2 linked regions of the Caenorhabditis elegans genome follow. The protein of the gene in region 1 purifies or fractionates together with the protein of each later gene. This does not show direct contact. Each region holds a gene or a part of one and is shown in the gene's direction. Other genes may lie near its edges.

Region 1 (5,307 bases):
CGAAATACAGAGTCATCGCGTATTCGATATTCCAATTAGCTTTTGCCAGGAAGTTGAGAGACACAGCTTCCGTGACCTGAGTCCACTGGACGAACTGCCGGAGCTGGAAATGGTATCAAATAATAATTATGATATCATTATTTAAAACATTTTTCATTTTCTCAAACTGTTTTCTCTCTCTCACTAACAGTTTCTCACACTTTCTCTACAGTCAGCAACTGATGTCTTATCACTAAAAAGGAAGAAATCAGGAATTTCAAAACGAAAAAAATCAATAAAAGTGAGAATTTAAAAAGTGACTTCGATCGGAAATGGGAAACCGTTGATCACAATTAGAACTACTAAAAATTTTAGGATTGAGCGAAAACATTGCTCAGCTTTAAAAAATGAGGAAAATTGATATTTCATAAACCAGCAGCAGTGATTAGATTGTTTGAAGAGACGCAGGAAAATCGCGGGCAAAACGCTCTGCTCGCCAAAGTTGGGTCTCGTTAGGTATTTGGCGGGAAAACCTCGAAATTTAATATTGGAGCGCGTTTCCACGTAGATTTAAAAAAGATACATTTTTCTGCTTTGGGTCTCGCAACGATTTTGAGAAAAGTCAGCTTTCTAGATGAGCTAGAATTTGTCTAGTCAAGAAATAACAAACGAAGCAGCAAGATGTGGCAAAATTAGTTTTTTTTTCGAAATTCCCGCTACAACTCACGATATTATCGTAGTTCTTGGGAAAAATGTCAGAAAGAACAGTGCTTTGAGCTAGAGAACTCGAACTTGCTCGAGATAAATGCTGAAAAAGAGAAAAACGGGAATGGATGACGAATGGAATTTTCACACGCACAAATTTACTGTTTTCTTGTTTTCTACACTTTTTGTGATCAGTTTCCATATCACTCATCTCCACTTCATCGTCTTGTTTCCGTTTACAAACCTTTGTTTTTTGATCGGACTTCAGTCGATTCATTGTGTAGACGTAGTGGTTAGCCTGGAAAATTCATTGTTTTAGTGATTTTAAAATTAAATCTGCGTAATTTCGAAATTGTTAAACGACAAAAAAGATACAACTTTTCGAAACAAAACTGATAAGCAATGCAGTTAATAATTTCAAAAAATAAAGCAATTTAATAACGCAAAGAGAAGAGGGAAGGAAGAAGAAACGAACAACAACGCGGTCGATTAACGAATCAATAGAAAAATACGGGAAAAACTATAAAATGGTGAGCGATAGAGGAAACCACGAGAAAACGCTGCAATGTAATGCAGATGTGACGTCATACACTTTGTTTAGCGGGAAACGGAGTGTCGTATTGATTTCGATTAACGTCGGCGTCTCTCGAAAAGAAAACTGAAGAAAATCAACATAATTTTGAATTCCATTGAAAAGGAATATATTAGAGATAATATTTACTACAGCATCGCTCATTTAAAAAACATTTTTCTGTAACAGAAAGTGAAGTTTTATTGAATTTGTATTATTTTCAATGATTGCAAAGTTTTTTACATATTTTAATATGTATATACAATTTAAAACATGACAATTTTAATTGAGAAAAGCGGAACATTTAAATAATTATACAAAATTGAGAGAAAGCGTGAAAAAGCATTTGAAACAAATTTTGGCGCGCGCTTGAAACATTTAAATCTCGGCGAGACCCGTTTGTTCCCACTGCCCATGCTCCTTTAATACAGTATCTCACACTATTTTCAATTTAATTTCTTTTCTATTTCTCCATTTTCTCCATTTTTTCGACAATTTTTATTGAATTTTTGCTTCCAATTTCAGTAAAATGAGCGGTGATGTGGATTACCCGCAAGGATGTCTTCCAATTCTTAACTCAAATAATGTGACACAACAAATTGAACGCTTACGAGTGAGTTTCAGAAATTTCAACAAAAAAACAACTTATTTTGAATCTAAATTGATGCCTTTAAAGAAGTTGAATATGAGAAATGAATTATTTTTTGATGAAAAGAACGTTAAAAGAAATGATTAAACATTATTTAAAAAAATATATAATTTTCAGAAACTATTTAACTGTCTCCATGACTGCAAAACAAACAATAGCGAAGAAGTATCGTCTCCGAATCGATTCGCAAGGCTTTTCCAACATTTATCACAAGAATGCTTCCTTGACAATTCAAATACAGATTTTCGGATCCTTCTTTCACTTTGTCTCGCGAATATTCTGCGAATCTTCCAGCCAGAGCTACCGACGCCAAGTGTAATGGATTTAAAGGTTAGAATTCAAGTAAATTATTGATTTTTAATGAAATTTTCTGTTTCAGGAGGTTTATATCTACCTTTTCCGTACCATGCGAGGACTCGGAGACGTTACTCAGGATAGTCCGAAGTTTAAAAATTACTTCTCGTTGGTTGAGGTTTGCTGTAGAAATTCTAGCACCAAAAAATAATTATTTATATTCAGACAATGGAGAAAATCATTCCACCAATCATCGAAATGAAGGATCACGATGATAAAGAAGCAACTCCGGTGTTCCGAGCGTTGATCAAGGATATTCTGGCGATTCCGTGTGGAAAAGGATGGAATCAGAATCTGAAAAAAGAAGCGCGACTTTTGAAAATTCAAGAAAATGACGATGATTCAATGAATGATGACGAAGAAGATGAGAATGCCGCCGAAAAAATTCGGAAATCTTTAATTCAAATTGCAACGACAGTGATTACTAATTTGGATTTTGTTCAGAACGAGTGCCTTGATGTTTTGTTTTATCATATTATTAATCCACAGAGAGTAAGTTTTGTGGAATTAAATAGGGAATTAGCGTTGAAAACAAAAAATAGCCCCAGAATATTTAAATTTATGAATATGTCCCTTGAAATCGGCCGAAAATTTTAAAAAATCATTTTTTTTCCCTATTCCGCGTATTTTGTCGTTTATTCTAATGCTTATTTTGTTGATTTGCATATTTTCATGTCTACAAGAAAATTTTTTTCAAAATTTTCAAATTATGGATTCCGTCTGATCGAAAAGTGCGTGAATCAACAAAAACAGAAGGAATAAACGACAAAAACTTGCGAAATGTACAATTAATTTCATAAAAAATACCATCTTTTAATCACTACGACACGAAAATAACGGCGTAATTTAAGGTTGTAACTGAATTTAGAATTTATTGCAATTATTGAATGATTTTTCAAAAACCGTTATTTAAAGTTTTTGGAAAAAAAATTTTAATGCAAAACTATGAGAAAAGTATGAAAAATTCTCTTATAGAATACCCTTTCAGAATATATTTCCAACAAAAAACTTCAATTTCAGAGCAATTTCGCAGAAGCACGTGCACTGGCAGAAGATATCATCCGATCCTGCAGTGATAATGAGTCAGACACTTTAGCAAATTCCATTCGAAGTACAATGACAGCAGCCGCAAAAGAAGGGAAACTTCCAGAAGAATTCGAGTTAACTGGTTCCAGTAATCGAAGTAAATTCTTTGAAGTACTCCGTTATCTTCACTACGTATCATTTGATTTGGTGTCTGGCGCTATTCAAGAACTCAAATTTTGGCTTCAGGTAGGACAATTGAAAAAAGGAACTTAGTAGAGTACTCATCAAATCATTTTTCAGTCAGAAAATGAGCAGTACCGAAAAGAAGCAGTGACAGTCGTTGGAATGTTGACACGTGACAAACATTGTCAATTCGGAATGGATTCAAATGATCCAACATGGAGTGCTTTTTTGAATGCGTTAGTTTTTTAATTGTAATTAAATTATTTTGTCGAATTTTTTGTGATTTTTTTCAGGTCTATCGATCAAGATGATAGTGTTCGACACGAATTTGTGCAACAATCGAAAGATATTCTAATTTCGAATCATTCACATCTCAGGGGACAGATTATTAGTAGGTTTTCGTGAAATAAAAACTATTTTTTCTCATATTGGATAAAAGCTAAAATTGAATTTTCACGGTTTTGAAAGTTGGTTTTTTAAAAAATGTTTTTTCATGTTTTTTAGTGAAATTTTCCAAATTCAAGAAAATTTTGAATTTTTCTAAAGTAAAATCCCCATTTTCAGATAGCCTGCTACGTCTCTCCGTTGATTTAAATGACGATATTCGACGAGATGTTGTAACTGGAGTTACTGAAGTGGCAAAAACGAAATTAGAAGTTATTAGTGATAAAATGCTAAAGGCCTGTGCCGAGCGGATGAAGGATAAAAAGGTTTTTTATATTAAAAAATCTAATTAAAAAAGCGAAAACCCTAAAAATTCCAGCCAAAAGTCCGAATTCAAGCGATCAAACGTCTAATGGATCTTTATAATCATGTGATGACGTCATCACCTCAACCATTTTTCTCAAAAGATGGAAGTTGTGCACCAAAAGATTCAAAAGAAGCGACATTATCATATACTGAATCAGAAAAAGAATCAGTTCGATTCATTTCAACGGCAGTTTTTAATGTTTATAGATTGACACAAAGATTGCCAGCTTATCACGATGCAAGAGCAATTATCGAAAGATATTTCCAATTATATCTTGTTCCGTACAAAGTTGAACCAAAATTGAGAGTTCGATTAATGGCGGATTTATTCAGAAATCTTGATGATATTGGATGCATGTACGTTGATATTTTTAGAATTTCTAAAAAAAATTTCGTTCTAAAACTATCGAAAATAATTCTAACAGTGAAAAAATGGGTTTTTACGGGATTTTTTTTGTTGCAAAAACTAATCCGAATTAATTTTGAATTGCCTAAAGAAGGAAGTTTTCGATTTTTCTATTATCCGAAAAAATCAATATTTCATCAAATTTTGTTTATCTCGATGAGAAAAAAACATAAGAAAACATTAAATTTTATTCTAAAAAAAAAAAGAAAAATTGCCAACATTTAAAGATATTTTCTAGTTATTTATATTATATATTTAGTTAAAAAATTTTTTTTGAATTTTTGAAACTTTTTTTTACGGAAAAATGACCGAAAAGTGTTGTGAATTTCTCAATTTACCAATAAAATTTTTATTTTTAACCTTAAAAGGTTATTTTCTGTAGGGAAATGTGAAAAGTTTGAAAAAAAAATAACCAGAAAATTCCAGAAAACAAATGAAAATCGAAAAATGTATCGCAAAAAATTCAGTCTTTCAAAGAAAATTGGGGAATTTCTTTTTTTTAAATTTAAATTTAAGTCTTTTTATAGCTGAACACAATCCCCATTCACAATACTCAATTTTTTACGAAAAATTCGTTTTTTTAGGTTATTCGGAGACATAATCAATCGTTCCTCTCAACTTCGTCGTGCGATGATCGGAATTCTGAGCCAAGTTGGACAATTCACAGAAATGACAACTCAATCA
Region 2 (8,608 bases), on another chromosome or scaffold:
ACAAGAGCAAGCTGCGTCGTATTGGCGGCAGGAGCGGTCACGTTTACATTTTTCGTCGAATTGCCGGCAGGAGCGGTCGCATTAGGACTTTTTGTCGAATTGCCGGCAGGAGCGGTCACGTTTGAAGTGTTCGTAGCGGCGGAAACAGGCACATTTGGTGTGGTGGTTGTTGGCTGAAAAATGGTGAAACATTATGGTCTAGAAAAATCGAAGGATGTCTAAAAAACTCACCAATACATGAACTATTAATCCGAAGATTACCAATGAAAACAAAATACGCAAAATACGCATTTTTGTGTGACGCGTGTGTCGGAGAGAAACCGATTTCACAAACTAATTTAAGTTATAATTTGTTTATTTCAATCGCTACGTGTGCCACGTGTGCCACGTGGCCACGCGTGAGTAGGGGCGGGGCCTATTTCGCAACCACCGCACACTCTTTTCGCAAGCCTCGCACGTTTTTTCCATGATATTGTTGCATTTTTTCAAAAGAAAAACGTGCGAGGCTTGCGAAAAAAGTGTGCGGTGGTTGCGAAAAGGTCCCGTCACTGCATCCTGTTTTGGGAGGCCCCACGAAAAGGGGAGCAGAACGAAAAGGCGATCTGCAAAAAGGGGATCTGCGAAAAGGGGAGATACGAAAAGGGGAGATACGAAAAGGGGAGCAACGAAAAGGGGAGCTGGCACTGTGCCAAACGCACAAAACGCAATTTTTCTCACGCAACGCACGTTGATTTTTGAAATTTTCTTCTAGAAGATACGCTTAACAACACGCGACGCGTAACATCGGAGCATCGTTGTATCGTTTTCTTCGAGAAAAATAGCGTTTGGCACAGCCAGATCCCCTTTTCGTTGCTCCCCTTTTCGTATCTCCCCTTTTCGTATCTCCCCTTTTCGCAGATCCCCTTTTCGTTCTGCTCCCCTTTTCGTGGGGCCTCAAACGTGACTTCCAAAATCGCCGCGAGACCCGAACGACTGAGTCTGTGTCCCTTTAAATGTATATTTACGGCAGCCTTTCAGAGAAATTTTTCAATTCATTGCGATTTCCTTCACATATTTCGTTGTTTTTTTTAATTTAGTACTATCAGAAAAATAAAAAATTGACTCTACCATGCAAAAAAAAACAAAAATTTACACTAGGTTTGACGAATTTAACTACTTCTCTTCGATCTGTTGCTTTATGTAAATAGTTGTTTTCTTATTGAAAATTGTATTTTTTATTGATGTTCTCAGCAAGTTCCGCGTACTAACTCAGAGTTTTTGAATCAGCGTGGCATTAGGAATGCTCTTTTACAACATTCTCTGTTGTTTTTTCTCTAATAATCTTTAACTTTTCAATACTAACTTCTTATTGTTTTTATTACCTTTTGTACCATCTTTATCACGAAATATTGCAAGAAATTCATTTTAATATTCCTCCAAAAACAACACTACGACACTCCGCAGTAACATTTATGCGTTTCGTTTAGCGTCCTCACATTTCAAATTTGAACCTGTTCATCTAACGATACTAAGTGATTTTTCGATAATTTATGCTTTATTATTGTTATTTCTGACAACAACGGATTGAAATTATATTTTTCTATTTAAGGATCATCAATTTCACTTATCTCCCCGTTATTTTATCGATTATGAGCGACCCAAAGAAACACACCCAGCGTAAGTTGAATTTTTTCAATATAAATCGATAATGTTTTTACATTTACAGGCATTGTTGAAATGGGAAAATTTCTAAATGTTTTCCTCACAGCTGAGCAGGTTTCGTCAGTGGAGAGGGTGAGATTTTATCGATTTTCCCAGTATTTTATTCACTTATTTCAGTTACTATCACTGGGCGTTTCACCGTTGAACCTTGTCCGTCTTATTCAAAACCTTGGAACTCCCAGCACACAGAGTTCACCAAGCAATCGGGAAAATGCATTGTCATGATTTAATCAGCTCCTCAAATTATCGGCAAACCTGGTCATAATGTATATTCACTTTTTTTAAAATAAACTAAACTGGTTTCTCATTATTATCTATTTTTATTTATTCCATGTATGATATTGGTTTATCTACCAAAAATTACCTCACCATTCTTATTCTTGTTCAACTATAACTTTTTACTTAATTCTTCAGACTAATAATGCGTGGCGGAAGCTCGCTGGATAGTTTTCCAGGCAAAGGAACTCTCCACACACTCGAGATCGAAAACTTCAAATCTTACAAGGGAAAACATACTATTGGACCCTTTACAAGATTCACAGCTATCATTGGACCAAATGGTTCAGGAAAATCAAATCTTATGGACGCAATTTCGTTCGTGCTCGGAGAGAAGCCAAGCAGTTTGCGTGTTAGAAAGTATGCGGTAAGAGAAAAAGTATAAAATATAGAAGATTTTAATCAATAATGTTTAGGATTTGATTCATGGTGCACCAATTAACAAGCCAGTTGCTAAGAAATGTCGTGTCACTATGAACTACAAATATTCTGACGGAAAAGTCAAGGCATTCACCAGAGGCGTCAATAATGGAACATCTGAACATCTTCTTGATGGTCAAACTGTCACAAGTGCAGCATATTCACAAGAAATGGAAAGTATCAATATCTTCATCAAGGCAAGAAACTTTCTGGTATATCAGGGAGCTATCGAAAATATTGCCATGAAAACTCCAAAAGAACGTACTCAACTCTTCGAGGAGCTCTCACGATCACACGAGTTTCAAGCAGAGTATGAAAGATTGAAAGTTGAGATGACAAAAGCTGAAGATGATACTCAACACAATATGAACAAGAGACGAGGAATCGCTCAAGAGAAACGTGAGGCAAAAATGGAGAAAGATGAAGCTGAAAAGTATCAAACCATGAAGAATGAGCTGGCTGCAAAATCGACGATGCTATTTCTCCATCAATTGTTCCATTGCGAACGGACGATCGACGAATCAAAAGAGGAGATCAACGCTCAGAAAAAGACGATTGCAAGTCTCGAAGCAACTAGGGTATGATGAAGGCAATTCTACTAAATGACGTTCTTCCAATATTTTTCATTCATATTTTGTGATAAACTTTAGAAAAATATTTTCTTTATCTGAAAATTACTTATTTAACTTGGAACAACTTAAAAAGCAGTTCTTCCAAGTTATACAAAAGTTATTTTCCGGTGAAGCTAATATTGTTCAATATTTTATCGTAAAATTTTGATTGATTGATTTATAGTATATAAAAATAATCAAAATTATATATTACAGTCGAAAGAAGAAGCGAAAATCGCTGCGGTTCATCAGGAGCACCGGAAAGCTCTCCGCGAGGTTCAGAAGATGACAAGAAAACTCGATCAGAAAGAGACGGATTTGGCTGAAAAGCAACAAAATATGCTGACATTGAAAGTTTCCGTTGCTCACGAGCACAAGAAGCTGGAAATTGCGAAGAAGATGCTTGCCGCTGCAGAAAGTAAGGCAGAGAACAACTCGACTCAGCTGGCGGATTTGAAGAAAAGCAAAAAAGAGCTAGAAAAGAAGAAGGCCGCATATGAAGCAGAGATTCAGGATATGATGCAAAGAGGCGAGTTAAATCTTTCGGATGAACAAGTACGTGAGTACGGACAGCTGAAAGATCAAGCTCAGCGAGAATCAGCAATGGTTCAAAGAGAGCTATTGATGGCCGAACAAGTGTTCGAAGGTGATAAGAGTTCTCTAAATCATGAGCTTCGACGCCAAAAGGAGCATCAAGAAAGAGTTAAAGCGAAGGAAGGTGATGTGCGAAGAATTGAAACTCAAATTGCAACTCTTGCTCAAAGAATCAAGGAAACTGAAGAAGAGACAAAGATCTTGAAAGCTGATCTTAAGAAGATTGAAAATGACGTTGTTATTGATAAATCAGCAGCAGCGGAATACAACAAAGAGCTTGTAGCTGTCGTTCGTCAACTCTCCGAAGCTTCTGGAGATTCTGCAGAAGGAGAAAGAAATCAAAGAAGAACGGAGGCACTTGAAGGATTGAAAAAGAATTTCCCGGAGAGTGTGTATGGTAGACTTGTCGATCTCTGTCAACCGTCTCATAAACGGTTCAACATTGCCACCACAAAGATTCTTCAGAAGCATATGAACAGTATTGTTTGTGATACTGAAGAGACTGCTGCCAAGGCAATTGTTTATCTGAAGGTTTGTTCTTTTTTCACTTCCAAAATTTCAATTCATAATAACTAATTTCCAGGATCACCGTTATCCCCCAGAAACCTTCCTTCCAAATGATGCACTAGTTGTTAATCCACTAAATGAAAAACTTCGTGAAATCAAAAAGCCAGCTGGAGTGAAGCTCGTCTTCGATGTCATCAATCCTCAACATCAAGCAGCTAGAAAAGCTCTTCAATTCGTTTGTGGAAACGCATTAGTTTGTGAGAGTCAAGAAGATGCTAAGCAGCTTGCATACGGTGGAGGAGAGCTGAAAGATCGTTTCAAGGCAGTTTCGATGGACGGAACTCTGTTCCAACAATCTGGAGTTATGTCCGGAGGTTCTGCTGATTTGAGACAAAAGTCCAAGAAATGGGACGAGAAAGTTGTCAAGTGAGTTTTTATTTTATTTTTTATTAAATTGAAAAAAAAACATTAATATTTTTCCAGACAACTCCGAGAAAAGCGGAACCAACTGAACGAAAAAATCGCGGATCTTCAGAAACATCGTCGTCGTGAACTCGAAGTGGAAAGTGTACGCTCCAAGATTAATGGAAATGAGCAAAGATTGGCAATGATGAAGCGAGATCTGAAGAATATGCGAGAAATGCAGTTGGAAAGACTTCAAAATGAGCTTGAAGGCATGACCGCGGAGATGAATATGCTTCCGGTGATTATTTTTAGTGACCAACGGTTCTGGAAAAAAAAAATTATAACCCCAAAAAGTGCTCAACTTAACGAATTTCGTAATGAAAATTCTCAAAAATCTTTCAAAAATTTATTTATTTTGGAGCAAATTTTGGAGCCATTAGACCTCCTTTTAAATTTGTAATCTGCAAAAATTGATATATTTTCAGCCGCGAATCTCGAATTGTCAAGAAAAACTTGAACGCAGTGAAAGTACTTTAAAATCTCTGCAAACGAAGAGCAATGAAGTGGCTGATCGAATTTTCGCTGATTTCTGTACTCGTGTTGGAATCGCATCGATTCGTGACTATGAGAATCGTGAAATGCGTATCAAGCAAGAAATGGAAGACAAGCTTCGATCATTTGACGATGATATCCAAAAGTTGGCCTACGAAATTGACTTTGTCACCGAGCAAGATGGCAATCGGAAAGTTGAAGTTGAAAAGGAGAAAGTACGTTTTTCATTTTTTTGTAAAGAAACTCCTTATCAGTTTCTTTAAGATTCTTAAAATTGTTTTGTTTACCTTATTTGAAATATTTTTATTACAGGTTTCACAAATCGACCGACAATATAAGGACATGAAGAAAAAAGAGAAAACGGCGGCGGCCGCTTTGAAAGAGCACACGGAATCCATGGAGCAAGACAAGGAAGTGCTGGAAGAGAAGAAGGCCTTATCACATAAATTGGAAACCGAGTGGAATGAGGTCAAAAAAATTGCACAAGTTGCGATGAAAGACTTTACAAAGGCTGAAAAAGAGCTTCTTCGTCTTGAAAGTTTGCTTACTAAGAAGCAATATGAACGGCACTCTCTTCTTCATTCTGTGAAGCTTGGGCAAATTGCGTTACCACTCAAATCAGGAAGTATGGCTGACGTTGAATATGAGGAAGATGATGGAGGTTGGATATTTATTTTGATTTTGATGTTTTGAAAAAATCGCATTTTCACTTTTCCATAATTCAGTTTTCAGCTTTTAGATATATATTTCATAATTTTTGTCTCCCTGTTTCCTTTCAAGTTCCAATTAATTTCAGATGACACAGCTTCTCAGTCTTCTCAATCAGCCACCGATGGTCCAAGTGTATCAGAGGAGCAAATTCAACGAGAGCAACACATCAAAATCAACTACGACTCGTTACCGCGAGAATATAAAGATGTTAGTGCTGCCAAGACATGTTTCGGTTTTCTGAGCAAACCGAAAAAATACTGGCAACAAAAATTTATTTATTTTTTCTGAACTATTTTGACCCTAAATTTTTTCGATTTTTGAGCCAAACAAAATACGAAAAAAATCTACTTTTTCGGTTTAAAAAAAACCAGCAGTCCTGTTAGTGATGGTTGCTGATCAAAAATTATTTGCTCTTTTGCCAACCCCGCCCCGCCCTGCCCCCCTCCGTGTTTTAGTTCATTTCTAGATTCACACGATTTGCATTACAGGTGGATGACGATGATGGTGTACGGCAAATGTCGAATCGACTCAATGTGGAAATCGATGAACTGCAGAAAAATGTGTCAAAAATGAATGCGCCGAATTTGAAAGCCAATCAGAGAATGGCAGAGGTGAAAGAACGAGAAGCCGAGTCGACTGAAGAACTTGAAAATGCTCGAAAGAAGGCGAAGAGAATTCGGCAACAGTTCGAGAAGGTTAGTTATTAAGAAATTCCAAACGTTTAGTATCTGAAAATGTATCGATAAAAATGAAAGTTTAGGAGAGCTTCGAATCCATTTTAGACATTGAAAAATTTAGATTTTACACATAATTTTGTGGGCCAAAATAAAAAAAATTCCTTGACTAGATAAAAACTAGAAAATTAGCTAAAAAATATATATTTAAAACCTACAAAATGCATTATTTTTTAAATGTCAAAAATGGATTCAAATCAGGAGTGGGCATCAGTTATTTTTTCAAAGTATAGAAAATCTCTTGATTTATCTGAAAAGAACATTTATTTCAGTCAAAAGATTTGATAAAGTACTCAAAAAATGTTATTTTCACAGATATCGGGTGATTTTTTACATTTTGACATTTTTTAAATTAAAAACGTTGAACCAACATGTTTGAATCACCGAAAAAAAAACCGCTTCATTAAAATAATTTTTTTGCGATAATTTTCCTATACTGAAAATAAGAATATTCTTGAAATTCCTTGAAATGAAAATGTGCACCTTCTGGACACCAAGTGACAAAAACATTAGAGATAAGAGACATAGACATTCATAACTTTAAAATGACAACAGTTGTACCCATATTGTCACTCAATCTGTCCCCTCTATCTCTCACACCTCTTCAATTTCACTTTTCTCATATATTTTATCGATTTTAAAATATTGTTTTTTTCAGGTAAAAACCGATCGCTACCGACGCTTCCAAGATTTCTTCGATCCTGTGGCCAACACTATCGATGACATTTACAAGCAACTCTCACGAAATACTTCTGCTCAAGCCTTCCTCGGAGCTGATAACATGGAAGAGCCCTATCTGGATGGTATCCAGTACAATTGTGTAGCTCCTGGAAAACGTTTCCGTCCGATGGATAACTTGTCTGGAGGAGAAAAGACAATTGCCGCGTTGGCACTGCTTTTTGCAGTTCACGGACGTAATCCTGCTCCGTTTTTCGTTCTCGACGAGATTGATGCTGCTTTGGATAATACTAATATTGGAAAGGTATTTATTTAAACTGTTCATTAAAATTAAATTTTGCTTCAAAAGATAGAAAAATGACTGTAATGACCGAATATTACTGTTGTAAAACACAAAAATTATAAAATAAGGGTAAATCCTCCGGTTTTTCTGCATATTTTTGATAGTTGATCTAAAAAACTATCAAACTATCAAACTTTTAAGCAAAATTTCAAAACGATTTTACTCCGCCTTTAGTATAACCTGCGAGAAAAGATTGTAACGTTTTTTTTGTAATTTCAGGTCGCTTCGTACATCTGTGAATCAGCTCGTGAGCATATGCAAATTATCGTCATTTCTCTCAAAGAAGAGTTCTACAACAAAGCTGACTCACTCATCGGAATCTTCCCATATCCAGCCGCTTGTACAACATCTGGTGTTCTCACTTTCGATTTGACGCGCTTCAAACAAATTGGTCTCAATGAAATGACTGAAAATCCACCAACACCATCGATTGCAACATAAATTATATAAATTTTTGACAACCGCGACTATCAAATCATCTGTATAATTTCATTATTACTATTCCCTTACCCCTCATTATTTCTTAATTATCAAAAACCGATTCACTCAGTCACACAGTTCCCCGCATTTAAAGGTCTCAAACGTTTTTCCCTCTTCTCTCTTATACATTACTGTTTTTATGTTCCCAATTGACGTTATATTAATTCTACAAACTTATTGAATGAAACTCTCTGTAACCTTTTTATTCTAACTCGAGCCAATCTGGGTTGACAACCTTATTCAATTCCTGTTTATTATATTTTTCATCTAATTTCTCTAATATTTCCAGGTTTAACCATCGATGGGAGTCAGTAGCGGTGGAAATGAGGATGCCAGGTGAGAATTTTTAATTTATATTTAAAGAATCAAATTAATTATTTTTAAAATCTATTTTCCAGATCGCATATTGAAAAAATGCGCGACTTTATGCGTAAAAAGATGAGAAGACCGATCGATGACTATTACGATTGGGTGCCGAGGCCTGGAACACAATTCTGTATTCATATGACGATTAGAAGTATTCAAACTGCCGCAGTTGTTGGATCAGTTTTAGGGCCCGTATCGGCGTTGTTGATGCATCGAAGTGAGAAGAAAGA

Evidence for each region.
Region 2: the proteins of evl-14 (region 1) and him-1 fractionate together in Caenorhabditis elegans (co-fractionation; one large-scale study listed by BioGRID). This does not show direct contact.

Annotation. Positions count from the first base shown.
Region 1 is NC_003281.10:4,309,602-4,314,908, reverse strand, and holds the start of evl-14 (Cnd1 domain-containing protein), read left to right. Parts: upstream 1-1,780; 5' UTR 1,781-1,784; coding exon 1,785-1,868; intron 1,869-2,021; coding exon 2,022-2,234; intron 2,235-2,283; coding exon 2,284-2,376; intron 2,377-2,423; coding exon 2,424-2,750; intron 2,751-3,278; coding exon 3,279-3,530; intron 3,531-3,584; coding exon 3,585-3,703; intron 3,704-3,760; coding exon 3,761-3,858; intron 3,859-4,031; coding exon 4,032-4,177; intron 4,178-4,230; coding exon 4,231-4,574; intron 4,575-5,207; coding exon 5,208-5,307. Other genes in the region: dcn-1 (Defective in cullin neddylation protein 1), read right to left, coding at 1-103, 929-961.
Region 2 is NC_003279.8:4,951,175-4,959,782, reverse strand, and holds him-1 (Structural maintenance of chromosomes protein 1), read left to right. Parts: upstream 1-2,115; 5' UTR 2,116-2,122; coding exon 2,123-2,344; intron 2,345-2,393; coding exon 2,394-2,975; intron 2,976-3,224; coding exon 3,225-4,133; intron 4,134-4,185; coding exon 4,186-4,535; intron 4,536-4,592; coding exon 4,593-4,812; intron 4,813-4,999; coding exon 5,000-5,281; intron 5,282-5,378; coding exon 5,379-5,727; intron 5,728-5,862; coding exon 5,863-5,984; intron 5,985-6,265; coding exon 6,266-6,472; intron 6,473-7,169; coding exon 7,170-7,493; intron 7,494-7,751; coding exon 7,752-7,973; 3' UTR 7,974-8,212; downstream 8,213-8,608. Other genes in the region: enu-3.3 (ENhancer of Uncoordination), read right to left, coding at 1-173, 232-291; mzt-1 (Mitotic spindle organiZing protein (MOZART) homolog), read left to right, coding at 1,629-1,656, 1,706-1,773, 1,819-1,926; F28B3.6 (uncharacterized protein), read left to right, coding at 8,314-8,348, 8,411-8,608. UniProt on the Caenorhabditis elegans protein: Involved in chromosome cohesion during cell cycle and in DNA repair. Required for chromosome segregation during mitosis. Central component of cohesin complex. The cohesin complex is required for the cohesion of sister chromatids after DNA replication.